Linked DNA regions of Saccharomyces cerevisiae S288C. The gene in region 2 interacts genetically with the main gene of each other region. Each region holds a gene or a part of one and is shown on either strand. Other genes may lie near its edges. The genes, in order: RPL40A, UBA1 and CLN3.

Region 1 (2,991 bases), on a different chromosome or scaffold from region 2:
TCTGTAACCTTTGACACTCATTTTTTGATTTTTCGAGTCTTAATTTTGTGTCTATAAGTTCGTCTATCACATCAGTATGTTCAGGGTTCCTGCAGGAATTATCATCATTTTTCTCTATTGCTCTCAAGGAACAATCTTTTTCCAATGATGTTAGTTGTGAGCGTAGCAAATCGTTCATATTTTTTTGTAAAGTCATTTCTTTGGAGAATTCTGCTTTTTCCACACTTGCGGTATCTTTCAAATTTTTCATTTCCAGTACTTTCTCTTCCACCGACTGGGATAATTGTTTATTTTGATTTAGTAAAAACTTATTGTACGTAAAGACAGATTCATAGTTGGATTGCATTTGGTATAGTTTTTCTTCGAGGTTCTCTACGTGCGATGATTTTGTGACTTCTTCTGTTAGCGTTTTTTTGCTAAAAGATGATAATTTTTCTTCAATTAATTTTTTACTTTGTAACATTAATTCTTTTTCCTGTACTGAGGTATCGTACTTTAACTGTAATGATATAGCATTGGACTTGCACCTTTGTAGTATATTTTCCATTTCCATCAGCTTTCTTCGAAGAAGCTTATTTTCTTTGTTCAAATCATCATTTAAAGAATCATTCCCCTGATCTCTACTCTGCCAAATGTCATATTCTTCTTTAACTCGTTTTTCGTCATTTACTTCTCTCATAGCTTCATGGCTCACATGCAATTGTTTTTTTAGTGCATCTATTTCCCGCCTATATCTGGAACGTTCTTCATTCAGCTGATCTTTCAAGCCATTCAATTCTTCTTTAGCTGTGTTCTTCTGCTCAGAAGATTCATCTAGTAGCTGCTTAAGTTTTGAAATCCTTGAATAGTACTGCGATTTGATCTCATCGACCAAAACATTGAGTTTTGTCACTTCCTCTTCAGAACGTTCAAACTTGGCTATTTTCTTGTATAACTTTCTTAAGACAGGATAGGTAACACCTTGAAGTGATTCGAATGGAACATTTAAAAACTCAGATATTTTGTCCTCCATTGCCGGTTTGCTTCCGCCCAGTGTTCTTTCGCCTTAAATTTCTTTTGGTAAACTTCCACTAGAAAAAGAAAAGCCACCAGAGAAATAAGCGCTTGCAATTTAACGCCGATATTGTTTTCTTCTTCTATTATCTTCAATTATCGATCAACTCTATCCAACAATTCTATAATATCCACTGTTCATTAACGAATATTGGTCTTTTTCCCTTATGGTGAAGTAAATTTTCCATGCAATATCCGGGTAAGCTATCGACAAGTTTATTGACTGCAATTTGAGTTTATTACATCCGTACATTACTAAGATGTATGGTTTTTCTATTTTTGTGCTCCGTGTCGATATTTCGTGGAGCAAACCAGAAAAGATGCGGAACCTCTTAGCACTCCGCCTGGACATAGGCGGAGCATATTCCTCCTATGGGATGGGTTTTGTTGTACTCTTTTCTCTCTAGACAGGACCTCCGATTGCCTCCCTGAGGGTGAGATGGTTTCCGGCCTCAGGACGGCCTTCTCCAGTTTCTAGCGAGGCATACATTCCAACCAAAGGTGTATCAAGAATATCTGAAATTAAAGGTAGTTGAATCTCTATTTGTTGTTGTTATTACCGCTTATTATCCCATAGTTGAGACGACCAAGATTCAAACATGCAAATGTATGCACCATATCCATTCTAAACATAGTTTTTCGAACGTTCAGAGCTTAAAGGGACAATTATTTTAGAAACTGAATTTTTACCCAGTGGAATAACATCGTATCTGTAAAGTCTACAAAATTTTTTATCCATCAAAAATTAAAACAAAGAAAACTGCCAAACTGAATATGAGGAACTTTCCTCTCTAGGAATGACTTAGTGAATGTACAGTGACTTGTGGAAAATATGATTAGATTTTGAGCGGGTGATGCGACTTAACAGTCTCATTGCCTAAGAAATATCCAAATTTGTGGTTCATGCTCTCCCCCAAGATATGACGATGAGAGCTCGTTTAAAATTTTGTCTTCTTCCGAACAGTTATGAAAAAACTATTACGTGTTTTTATGATATCCTTACTAACTTGTCATTTTTTTATAAAATTATTTTTTTAACAGTTTTGTCAAGACTTTGACTGGTAAGACCATCACTTTGGAAGTTGAATCTTCTGACACTATTGACAATGTCAAGTCAAAGATTCAAGACAAGGAAGGTATCCCACCTGACCAACAAAGATTGATCTTTGCTGGTAAGCAATTGGAAGACGGTAGAACCTTGTCTGACTACAACATTCAAAAAGAATCCACTTTGCACTTAGTCTTGAGATTGAGAGGTGGTATCATTGAACCATCTTTGAAAGCTTTGGCTTCCAAGTACAACTGTGACAAATCTGTTTGCCGTAAGTGTTATGCTAGATTGCCACCAAGAGCTACCAACTGTAGAAAGAGAAAGTGTGGTCACACCAACCAATTGCGTCCAAAGAAGAAGTTAAAATGATCTGTTTCGCCCAATCAATCTATACATTTATTTACTGTATACTTTAATGTACATCTTCTTTTATCATACCTACTGTTAAAATCATAATATTAATTCATACAATATACTTAAGAAAACAATATACTTTTCTTAGTTTCATAACTTTGGAATCTATAATGTTGTTTTTTTTTTTTTAAGTATATTTGTATATTATGCATATAAGTCAACGCGTAGCGGTGGTATTACGCGCAAGCTTTTGATTTCTCTTACTATTCTTGGTTGTTCATTTGTTATTTTTCTTTCCCTGATATGCTGCACAAAACTCAGTAAGAATAGTTTTCAATTTTGGTCTTTTGATTGGTTTCGATAAAAATCCGTTCATTCCTGATTCCAAACATTCTTTAATGTTGCTATCGTCAGCAAAAGCGGTTAGAGCGACAATAGGTGAGGTATAACCTAAATCGCGCCTTATCATCTTGGTAGAAAGTAAACCATCCACTTTAGGCATCTGGACATCCATGAAAATCATATTATAATTT
Region 2 (5,611 bases):
ACTTGAAATTGAAATGTATGATGCATTAAAATACGTAGGAATCCATGACTTTGTAATTTCATCACCTCAGGGCTTGGATACACGTATTGATACAACTTTACTGTCAGGTGGACAAGCGCAAAGGCTTTGCATAGCCAGAGCACTTCTGAGAAAATCAAAAATTCTGATTTTAGATGAGTGTACTTCAGCCTTGGATTCTGTCAGCTCCTCTATCATCAATGAGATCGTCAAAAAAGGTCCACCTGCTCTACTAACAATGGTTATAACGCATAGTGAACAAATGATGAGGTCTTGTAACTCGATTGCAGTTCTTAAAGATGGTAAAGTGGTTGAGCGAGGTAACTTCGACACTTTATATAATAATCGCGGGGAATTATTCCAAATTGTTTCCAACCAAAGCAGTTAAACCCAAAGAAAATATAAAACAAAAAACTAAAACATACTCAAATATTCGAGACTACATTAATAATAATAATAATAATAATAATAATAAGTTTTTACCAAAGAAAAAGTTGTCAAAAGTCATACATATATATATACATATTTAATGTATATATTTAATTTATTTTTTTATTTTGGTTAATTAGTTACTCATAGATGAATGGTAATGAAAGGAACTTCAACATCCTCTCCTTCCTTGTCATCTGCGCAAATTTCGAGAATCATTGTAGATACATGTGCCGGAATATCTTTCTTAGTCACTAATTTAACCAATTGAGTTATTGGTAGATTTAGTCTTTCTTTCAATTTCTTTGGAGGGAAAAATGAGGCATAAAGAAGAGAAACGCCATAAGAAAGCATTGTTATTTCTAACCCTTCATCTTTTTCAAAATGTTCAATTAAATCACTTAATTTAATATCTCCCTTGATATCAAATCTATCCCAAATTTTATCATATTTCTTGTTGTTATATTCTCCCTTTGGTGAAGCAATTGGTTCCGAAAAACCGAAAAATGGCAAAGCTAAATTAACAAAGCCATTCTTATATTGCTCAATATCTGTCTTGTTGTCAATCAGTTTATATAATTCCAAATTGACCAAACCAGTAACCAAAGAAGTGGTTGTTGCGATGGCAGGAATAATACGGCCAGCTATGAATTTGGTCTTTTGGCGATCAGCAGTTTCGATGAAGTAGTTTTGAGCTCTACAGTTAGAACAAGCCGTTATAAATTCAATATGATGATTAGTGTCATCGTCTTTCTCGAAATCTACAGGCTCCAGTTTAAAGCCAGCCAAAGTAGAAGGATCTGGTAGGGATGATACCAGCTGATCAATTTCATCTGAGCCATTAGCCGCGTTGGCATTTGGATCCGGATCATCGTCATTAACTTGAATTTTCAAATTGGCATTTGGAGTAAATTCTGGAATTATCATATGATCGATGACGGACTTATACTCGTCCACGTTGGGTTTAGAATTAGAGTCATCACTTTTAATACCATAATTATAAGCGCGTAAACTAGCACCTGCTACGACAAAATGGAAGTGATCGTTATTGTAAATATCAAACTCTAATGGTGTTGGAGCACGCTTAGCACCGGACCAAAATGGTTCACCGTTGGAAGTCTTGGCATCCTTGGGGAAGTTGAACAGTAACTGCTTGATATCATGGTTGAATTTTTTTTCAAATTCTAACCTTGCCCATTTGATACAATCTTCAAAATTGTGTGGTTTACTAGATAGAGAATCTGAGATGGATTCTAGAACTCCCTTGACATCCCCGCTTTGCTTTAGTGTTTGCTCAACGAAATTCGGTTGTGTCAAGTACATATTAACGTTTTCGGCGGAATCAGTGAAGTAACCTTGGAAAAGAGATTTGGCCCAGGCAATGGTGTGATCAATCTTGTTTGGGAAAGAACGTAGGGTACACAATGGGATAGACTTTTCTGGTGGGTCTCTAGAAGAAGAGTATGATTCAGTCAATCTTGGAATGATGACTTGAGTATTACCTTTAGTACCTAGGGTACCAGATTCTAACAGTGGTTTTCTATAAAACACACAACGGCGATCTACGTATGTTCTTGCGTCGACATTGTCTAGAGCGTTGGTGACAAAATCCAGGCTTTCCCAAAAGGAGTCATTAAATATTTCCTCAGTTTCTGGCCCCACTTTATCAATTTTAGCATTTATCTTGCCCTTCAAATCGGGGTTCATAGCACAAACGGCCTCTGCCGCTACTTCAGATTTGTTCTTTCCGACATCCTTTGGTCTAAACAAGAACTGACGGTTTAAGTTGGACTTTTCGATCGAATCGTTATCCGTAACAACGATGTAACCGTCGGAGCCAGAACCAAGCCCCAAAAGTGCCCAATTTTTCAACATCTCACAACCAATGGCACCAGATCCGACAAGAAAGACCTTTGAATTGGCAATCTTTTTCTGAAAATCCAAACCGAAAACCGCGATTTGATTATCGTAACGAGAGTTTACTGGCTGAGTAGTCTTCTCATTTCTTGGGAAGTTTTTAGGATCTGGCAATGATTCCAAGGAATCAAAGTACATAAATTGCTTTAGCGGAGTAAATTTACCAGAACATGCTTTTAACACTTCTTGTGCCACAAGGCCACCGAAAAATGCTACGACACCCGGTATGTCACCTCTTGCCTGATAGGAAAGCTCTTTGATTAAATCTTCATTAACATCTACACCTTCACCCAGAACCTCCGGTTGCTGAACGGACAAATCGGTGACCAACTTGATTAATTCATTGGCGTCTTCGTCATTCATTGTTCTTGGCAGTTCACCATTATGTCTAACGGCAAACTGATGTAAAGCCTGAAATCCCAAATGCAATTGAGCAGCTCTGTCAAATTTAGCAAAATCCGAAAAAACAAACTCAGGATTGGACAGTTGTTGTTTCAAAGACTTGAATGAGATTTTACGGGGTACTTTGACTTCGGTGAAGATACCGCCCTTCTTATACTCGCCATATTCTTTGACTGAACCAATTCTGAATGCAAAGGGCCCCAAAACCTCAACTTTAAAAAGGGTCCCATCATTCAACTTATCAAGACCTTCTACTTCGGAGAACCTGACAAAATTTCCGTCTTCCAACCCGTGTCTGTTATCATCTAGCATGGTCACTGTTCCATCGGGCTCGATGTCTGAAACCATACCAGTGCGAGGTTCTTCACCCGTTGGGTCCAACACTGTGAACTCGTCACCTAGGTCTACGAAGGTGTTACCAAACAGCCCTCTTGTCTCCGAGGAAATGAATCTAATACCGGAGGAATGGCAAAATTCGTTGATTTTCACCTTATCTTCCAAAGAAACAGTGTCCGTAGCGACAACGACCTGGAATTGACTCAATTGGGTAACATCGTCTAAGGAATCCAGCACATTAACCGGGACATATGCGTTCAACTCTGCCAATTTGGCTCTGGTCACATCTCCTCTCTTTTGACCAATATCCTTTTCGGTCAAAAAGAATTGGGTTGATAAGTCTGCCAATTGAACCGGCTCAGGGTCAAAAACGGTCATAGATTTGACACCTGCCAACACAACGTTCTTCGCTATCTCAACACCTAGCCCCTTCAAGCCGAGAATTAATACGTTGGAGGTTTGCATTTTCAACATTGCTTCCTTACCCAACACATAAAGTTGACGAGAATAAAGACTTTCATCGATTTCTCCGGCGGCAGAGAGACCACTATTATTGCTGCTCATAGCTATAGTTATATGTTCTTTGCTTTGCTACTAATCTTACTTTTTGTTTGCTTATATCCAGCGATTGGCGGTTGCTCATCCTACTTAAAGGCCCTTTTTGATCATTTTCTTTTACCTTTATTTGCCACCCGCACCTTTTGTCACACTACACGAGAATATGCCGCATGGAAGCGTAATGGCAATTCAAGAAAGAGCTCTAATATTATTTACAATCACATGAATACAAGATCATAGCTTAACAAGGAGTGGATAGTCAGTAAAGGCGCCCTAAGCTCTACTAAAAACTGGGCTTTAAAAGATGTTCCTCGTCACTTGAGAATCTGTTGTCCCTATCTGGTTCCTCATCATACAATCCACTCCATCGTTTCTCCCACCCTACTACAAACTAGTGAGGCGAACGAGAAAATAAGAAACACTAAGGCTCGCTTTTCCTGCTGGACAGAGACATGCATTAGTGTTTGTTGTTCTCGCGCCAGTCGCTGTTTTTGCTTGCAAGTGCGACGTCCTCTTCTTCTTCTTCTTCTTTCTTCTTTGAGATGCGTAACAACACAACTACATTTTGTATTTTCCTCCCTTTTATACTCCTCCGCTGGAGTATTTTTTCGTATTTTTCACTTTTTTTGCTTCTTATAGGCCTTTTTGAACTATTTTCTGTTAGGGCTTAAAGAAAGCGCAGCAAATGGCTGATTTTAAATGCTGTTTTCTCGAAAGCAATGCTGATGATGTACCACAAAGTAGTATTTGCGCTTAGCTTGTCGATATAAGTATGCCTTTGAGCCAGTATTAAACTTCCTACTATCTCTTCTGGACCTCACCGTGCTATTCATATCACTGACGACGGAAAATGCCTCTTGTAGTAATCATTGAATGATCATCAATGGCTCGTTGACTCATTCTAATCTATAGCAGATATTAAGGTACGCAAAAAGTTCGACAAGGAGCTGGTCAGTATTAACACATTACCAAATCTGTTTGGTTCTACATAGAACGCCATAAAAGTAAGAAAAAAATGTCTGTGCACGCTGCAACAAACCCAATCAATAAGCATGTGGTTCTAATTGACAACTACGATTCCTTTACCTGGAACGTTTACGAGTACTTGTGCCAGGAGGGCGCCAAAGTGAGCGTCTACCGTAACGATGCAATTACAGTTCCAGAAATTGCCGCCTTGAATCCCGACACATTGCTTATCTCGCCTGGACCAGGCCACCCAAAGACAGATTCTGGCATTTCAAGAGACTGTATCCGGTACTTTACTGGGAAAATTCCTGTATTTGGAATCTGTATGGGCCAGCAATGCATGTTTGACGTATTTGGTGGTGAAGTTGCCTACGCTGGTGAGATTGTCCACGGTAAAACGTCCCCAATCTCTCACGACAACTGTGGAATTTTCAAGAACGTGCCGCAAGGTATTGCTGTGACAAGATACCATTCATTGGCCGGGACAGAATCGTCCCTACCATCCTGCTTGAAGGTTACTGCGAGTACCGAAAATGGAATTATCATGGGTGTAAGACACAAGAAGTACACTGTAGAAGGTGTGCAATTTCATCCGGAATCCATCTTGACCGAGGAAGGTCATCTGATGATCAGGAACATTTTAAACGTCAGTGGAGGCACTTGGGAGGAAAACAAATCATCTCCTTCAAATTCTATTTTGGACCGTATCTATGCTCGGCGTAAAATAGACGTCAATGAGCAGTCTAAAATCCCAGGTTTCACCTTTCAAGACTTACAATCTAACTATGATTTAGGTCTTGCCCCACCGTTACAGGATTTCTACACGGTGTTGTCATCATCCCATAAAAGAGCCGTTGTTCTTGCTGAAGTCAAGCGTGCCTCTCCATCGAAGGGACCCATTTGTTTAAAAGCTGTTGCTGCTGAACAGGCTCTCAAATACGCAGAGGCTGGTGCATCCGCAATTTCCGTATTGACCGAACCTCAT
Region 3 (4,041 bases), on a different chromosome or scaffold from region 2:
TTTCGAATACACATAATAACAACATTTCACCAATCACCAAGATCAAATATCAGGACGAAGATGGGGATTTTGTTGTGTTAGGTAGCGATGAAGATTGGAATGTTGCTAAAGAAATGTTGGCGGAAAACAATGAGAAATTCTTGAACATTCGTCTGTATTGATAAATAAAACTAGTATACAGCAAATACTAAATAATTCAAGAAAAAAACATTAGATAGAGAGGGGCAGATGTTCAAGCTATACCCATTATATTGATCCACACTTAGTATTAAGATACGTCTGTGAAGGATGAAAAAAAATGTATAATGTGACTAGAGGAAGTAAGGAGAAAAAACGATAGTAATCGTATTTTAGGTTGTGCGTTTTTATAATTTTTTTTTTTTTGTAATTCTATGCAAATGTAATATAAGTATATTTAAAGAAATAATGAGTCCTGTGAAAACAAAAAGAAAAAAAGATCATTAATGTATGTTAACGTATTTGCTTTGCAAATTTTAATTTATTTGTTGTTAAATGCATTTTTTTTTTGTCGTTTCAGCGAGTTTTCTTGAGGTTGCTACTATCATTAAAATCACAATCCACAGAGGAAGTTGATCTCTTTTTCAGTTGGGTGGGGGCAGAGCATGGGTGAGCAGTGGCCATGGGTCTAACAGGAAATAATCTTTTTGAACGCACAGATAAATTTTGTAATAATTTTCTATTTGACATTAGAGATGGGGTGGTGGGAGTTAGTGGGCTTGGCCAAAAGATGCTTGAATTTTGTGGGATGCTCAGTGACCTTTTAAAAGAATTTTGGGTAGAAGAGAACGAACCTGAATGTGAATGGTGTGATGCAGAGTCTGGGGTCGTCATTGAACTTGAAGTCTTGTAAGGGGAATTGAATGGAGATGGAGAGGATGAAGATGAGGTTGGAGTGAAGGCAAATGGTGGAGAAATGCTATCTTTGGTCAACCTTCTTAAATGAGTGTGATCCGAGAAATAGTCTGTGGCCGCAGATGAAACCGTAGCGCTCTTTGGAGTAGTAGCATTTGAGTAAACACAAGTCAATGAATCGCTGTCAAAGGACTGAGCAAAGATAGTATTGTACATGGTTTCCAATTCTTGTGAACGGTAGAATTCTTCCAGTTTCAATTGAATACAATAGTTTTGTAATGCGTCTAAGAGAGATTTTGCTAAAGATGTCTTATTGCTATTCAAATATTTTGATTTGAAACTGGAGGGGAAAGAATTTTGGTCCATTGCTATATCCAATAAAGTATTAGAGATTTCTGACAATTTAATATCTAGGTCTTGGCAGTTTTCCTCCAAAGCCAGATTGATATTTTCCCAAAGGTTTGAATTATAGTAGTTCAAAGATAATTTGATGAGGTTAATTGCACCCAGCGCAATTAGTGAACGATCATATTTAAATGATAATTCGAGATTGAAGGAAGCTAACTCGCACAACATAATGGCACCCAATTTGATCTCGTTGATGTTCAAAGAGGGGCCTTGAGAAGAGGACGATTTATTAATAGCAGTACCAGCAGCGTTATTTAATAAGGCCAGTTTCTGTTGAATGAAAGCTTCCAAAGGGGCAGAAAGGACAACGCCAGGCGATAACGGGGACGTAGATTGGAACAAGAAGATGTCGATGTAGGAGTCGAATGTTGCCGACTGACAGATGGACCAATCGAGTGATTTGAAAAGATGCATTTCCATAGTCGTGAATTGCTTTATAGAATATTGATTGCAACACAAGTTTTGCAAGACTTTCAAAGTGGCCATTCTATTCTTGGAGTCCCAAAATTTGGACGAAATCCAAAGCGCGGTCAAGGACAAGAGCTGGTAGTTGTAACTCTTGATAATGAACCGCGAGGAATACTTGTCCAAGATAGTGAAAGTAAGGAACAAAGTCGAGGTCGATAGATTGAGTCTTGTGTGACAGTACATGATGAAGTCAAAGATCAAGAAACGCATCTTCGGATTAACTTGTGGCTGAGAGTTGAAGTTAGTCAGGTTGTACAGCGGCCTTTCTGTGTGGGAAAGACGGAAATAGTGGTCCAATTGATCATTATTGTATTCGCTGATCGCTGAGTGATGTGCTTGCAATTCTCTTTTAACGAGATTAGGGTTTTTAGACTTTGCACTAGCAATGGCCCGCCTCTTTTGCAAGAGCAAGGGCAAATTAGGACATGAGGCAGCGCTGACAGAGGCGGCAGTGGCGGTGGAAGTGCCACTAGCGGTAGCATACCTTGCATTAGCGTATCTAATTATGGTATCCTTCAATATGGCCATCGTACAGAAAGCGTATCAAATCAGTGTCTTGAACGAGAGTAAAAGGGAGATGCAATGGAATGTAAGAAATGCTATGGGTCAGAAAAGAAATGCAGAGGAGTTAAACCGAATGAGGAAATGCAATGGATACGTTAAATTGGAGATGTGAGATTGCGACTGGGACTCGGATGGATGCTTGCTTTTGGATGCTAGTACAGAGAAAAAAGAGGGAGAAAAGAAAAGAGAAATAGAAAAAGGTTGGTTTAAGTCGGCAGAGGAGACTACTCGGGCAATTCGTTTCCTAATGGGTATAGTCCTCTTTCCTCAGAAATCCATTTGACTGGCAGACTCAGTAGTAGAAGAAAAAATCAAGAAAGAAATTGTGTGAAAGTATACTACACAAGAAAATGTTTAAGAAGAAGATTAAAAGCTCGAGGAAAGTACAGATATACAAATTATAAATAGGTAGGAGGAAGAAAAAAAAAAGATGAGGGCAAAAACCCAAGGCCAAATATGGAAATGTGGCAGAGGGACACACTAATCCGATAGTAAATTTATGTAACTTGATCATTACAGTGAGAGCAGGCTTGGTAATTTCTTTTTCTTGCCTGATAATTTTTCACTTTTTCTTTTTTTTTTTCTTGAAAGTTCACAATTTAGGGTTTGAGCACAGCGTTTGGTTGCGACACTTCCCCAGAAGGAAAACCGGCCTCTTTGGCTGGGGAGGGAAGAAGGGGGAGGAGAGCTCAGAAAGCCCTATCGCGATATGAGGGACCGATCTGTATCAGCATACTTTCGGTATCATCACGGTCGCAGGATAGAGATAGTGAATGAGTTAGCTGTTTTACAGGCCAAGCGTTCAAACGAGACGAATGGCGACATTTGCCCGTCAAGAAAACCCGCCGAGTTTTTTCCTAAACGGGTAAAACAGCCATGCACCGCAGCACGTCGACGAGGTGATATTTCCAATTTGGGAAATTTCCCAAATCAGTAATGTAGCCTCTACGGGTGTCTCTGTCAGCCCCGTGGTCGCCAGCACAGAATGTATCGTACCCCTGAAGGTAGTTTTTTACCGCCGTGGCACACGATAAAGGTGCACCTTGTGATAATAAGGTGGAAAAATATATATGAAAAAGTGAAATTGATTGTGGCTGCACTAGGACATCATTATTTCTTACTTGGCTATTTACACGTACTTACGCTGGCTGTATATCATTTAAGGGGCGGAGGACGAAGAGGACGGACCCGAGATCATCCGGTCCAAGAAACGGGTCATCCGGTCCTTAGCATTGTCTAGACTATCTAGGGCAGGACGGACATCCACGTGGAAAGTAGGCATTCCGTTTTCGTCGTCGGGCCCTCCGTAGAAATCCAAGACGTATCTAACTTCCTTGAAGGTTGGAGGTTGTTGTTCCGCTTTGCGCTCGCCTCGGAGTACAATCCAGTCGTGCCTGTCGAATGGTAGTTCTTGGCTAAAATGGGACGGAAACAGTAGGCCGCACAGGTGCATCCAGCGAGCACGAGGGCTCAATACGCCCGGTTTCCCCATGAATTTCAGCAACTTAGGCTGCACGTGGCTTTCATCTGTGTGCGGTTTTTCCCATTCGAGCACTTCCTGCCAGCACCCTTCATTTAGAAAGTTGTGGACCTGCACCATGGACTCCACTGCATCTTCGGCGACTTCGCCGCTACCGCCAATCTTGCCCTTTCTAACCATAGCATTGTACATCTGTTGTGGAGAAGGATACTCCCAGAACTCGTTACTGTCTGGACTCTTGGGGATGC

Evidence for each region.
Region 1: of UBA1 (region 2) and RPL40A, extra expression of one rescues a mutant of the other (dosage rescue), as found in Saccharomyces cerevisiae (one study listed by BioGRID).
Region 3: of UBA1 (region 2) and CLN3, extra expression of one rescues a mutant of the other (dosage rescue), as found in Saccharomyces cerevisiae (one study listed by BioGRID).

Annotation. Positions count from the first base shown.
Region 1 is NC_001141.2:67,056-70,046, forward strand, and holds RPL40A (ubiquitin-60S ribosomal protein eL40 RPL40A fusion protein), read left to right. Parts: upstream 1-1,652; coding exon 1,653-1,660; intron 1,661-2,094; coding exon 2,095-2,473; downstream 2,474-2,991. Other genes in the region: MLP2 (Mlp2p), read right to left, coding at 1-1,012; SLN1 (histidine kinase), read right to left, coding at 2,736-2,991.
Region 2 is NC_001143.9:37,218-42,828, reverse strand, and holds UBA1 (E1 ubiquitin-activating protein UBA1), read right to left. Parts: upstream 3,667-5,611; coding exon 592-3,666; downstream 1-591. Other genes in the region: ATP-binding cassette a-factor transporter STE6, read left to right, coding at 1-406; TRP3 (bifunctional anthranilate synthase/indole-3-glycerol-phosphate synthase), read left to right, coding at 4,676-5,611.
Region 3 is NC_001133.9:65,244-69,284, forward strand, and holds CLN3 (cyclin CLN3), read right to left. Parts: upstream 2,278-4,041; coding exon 535-2,277; downstream 1-534. Other genes in the region: Rho family guanine nucleotide exchange factor CDC24, read left to right, coding at 1-161; holocytochrome c synthase CYC3, read right to left, coding at 3,473-4,041. UniProt on the Saccharomyces cerevisiae protein: Essential for the control of the cell cycle at the G1/S (start) transition. CLN3 may be an upstream activator of the G1 cyclins which directly catalyze start.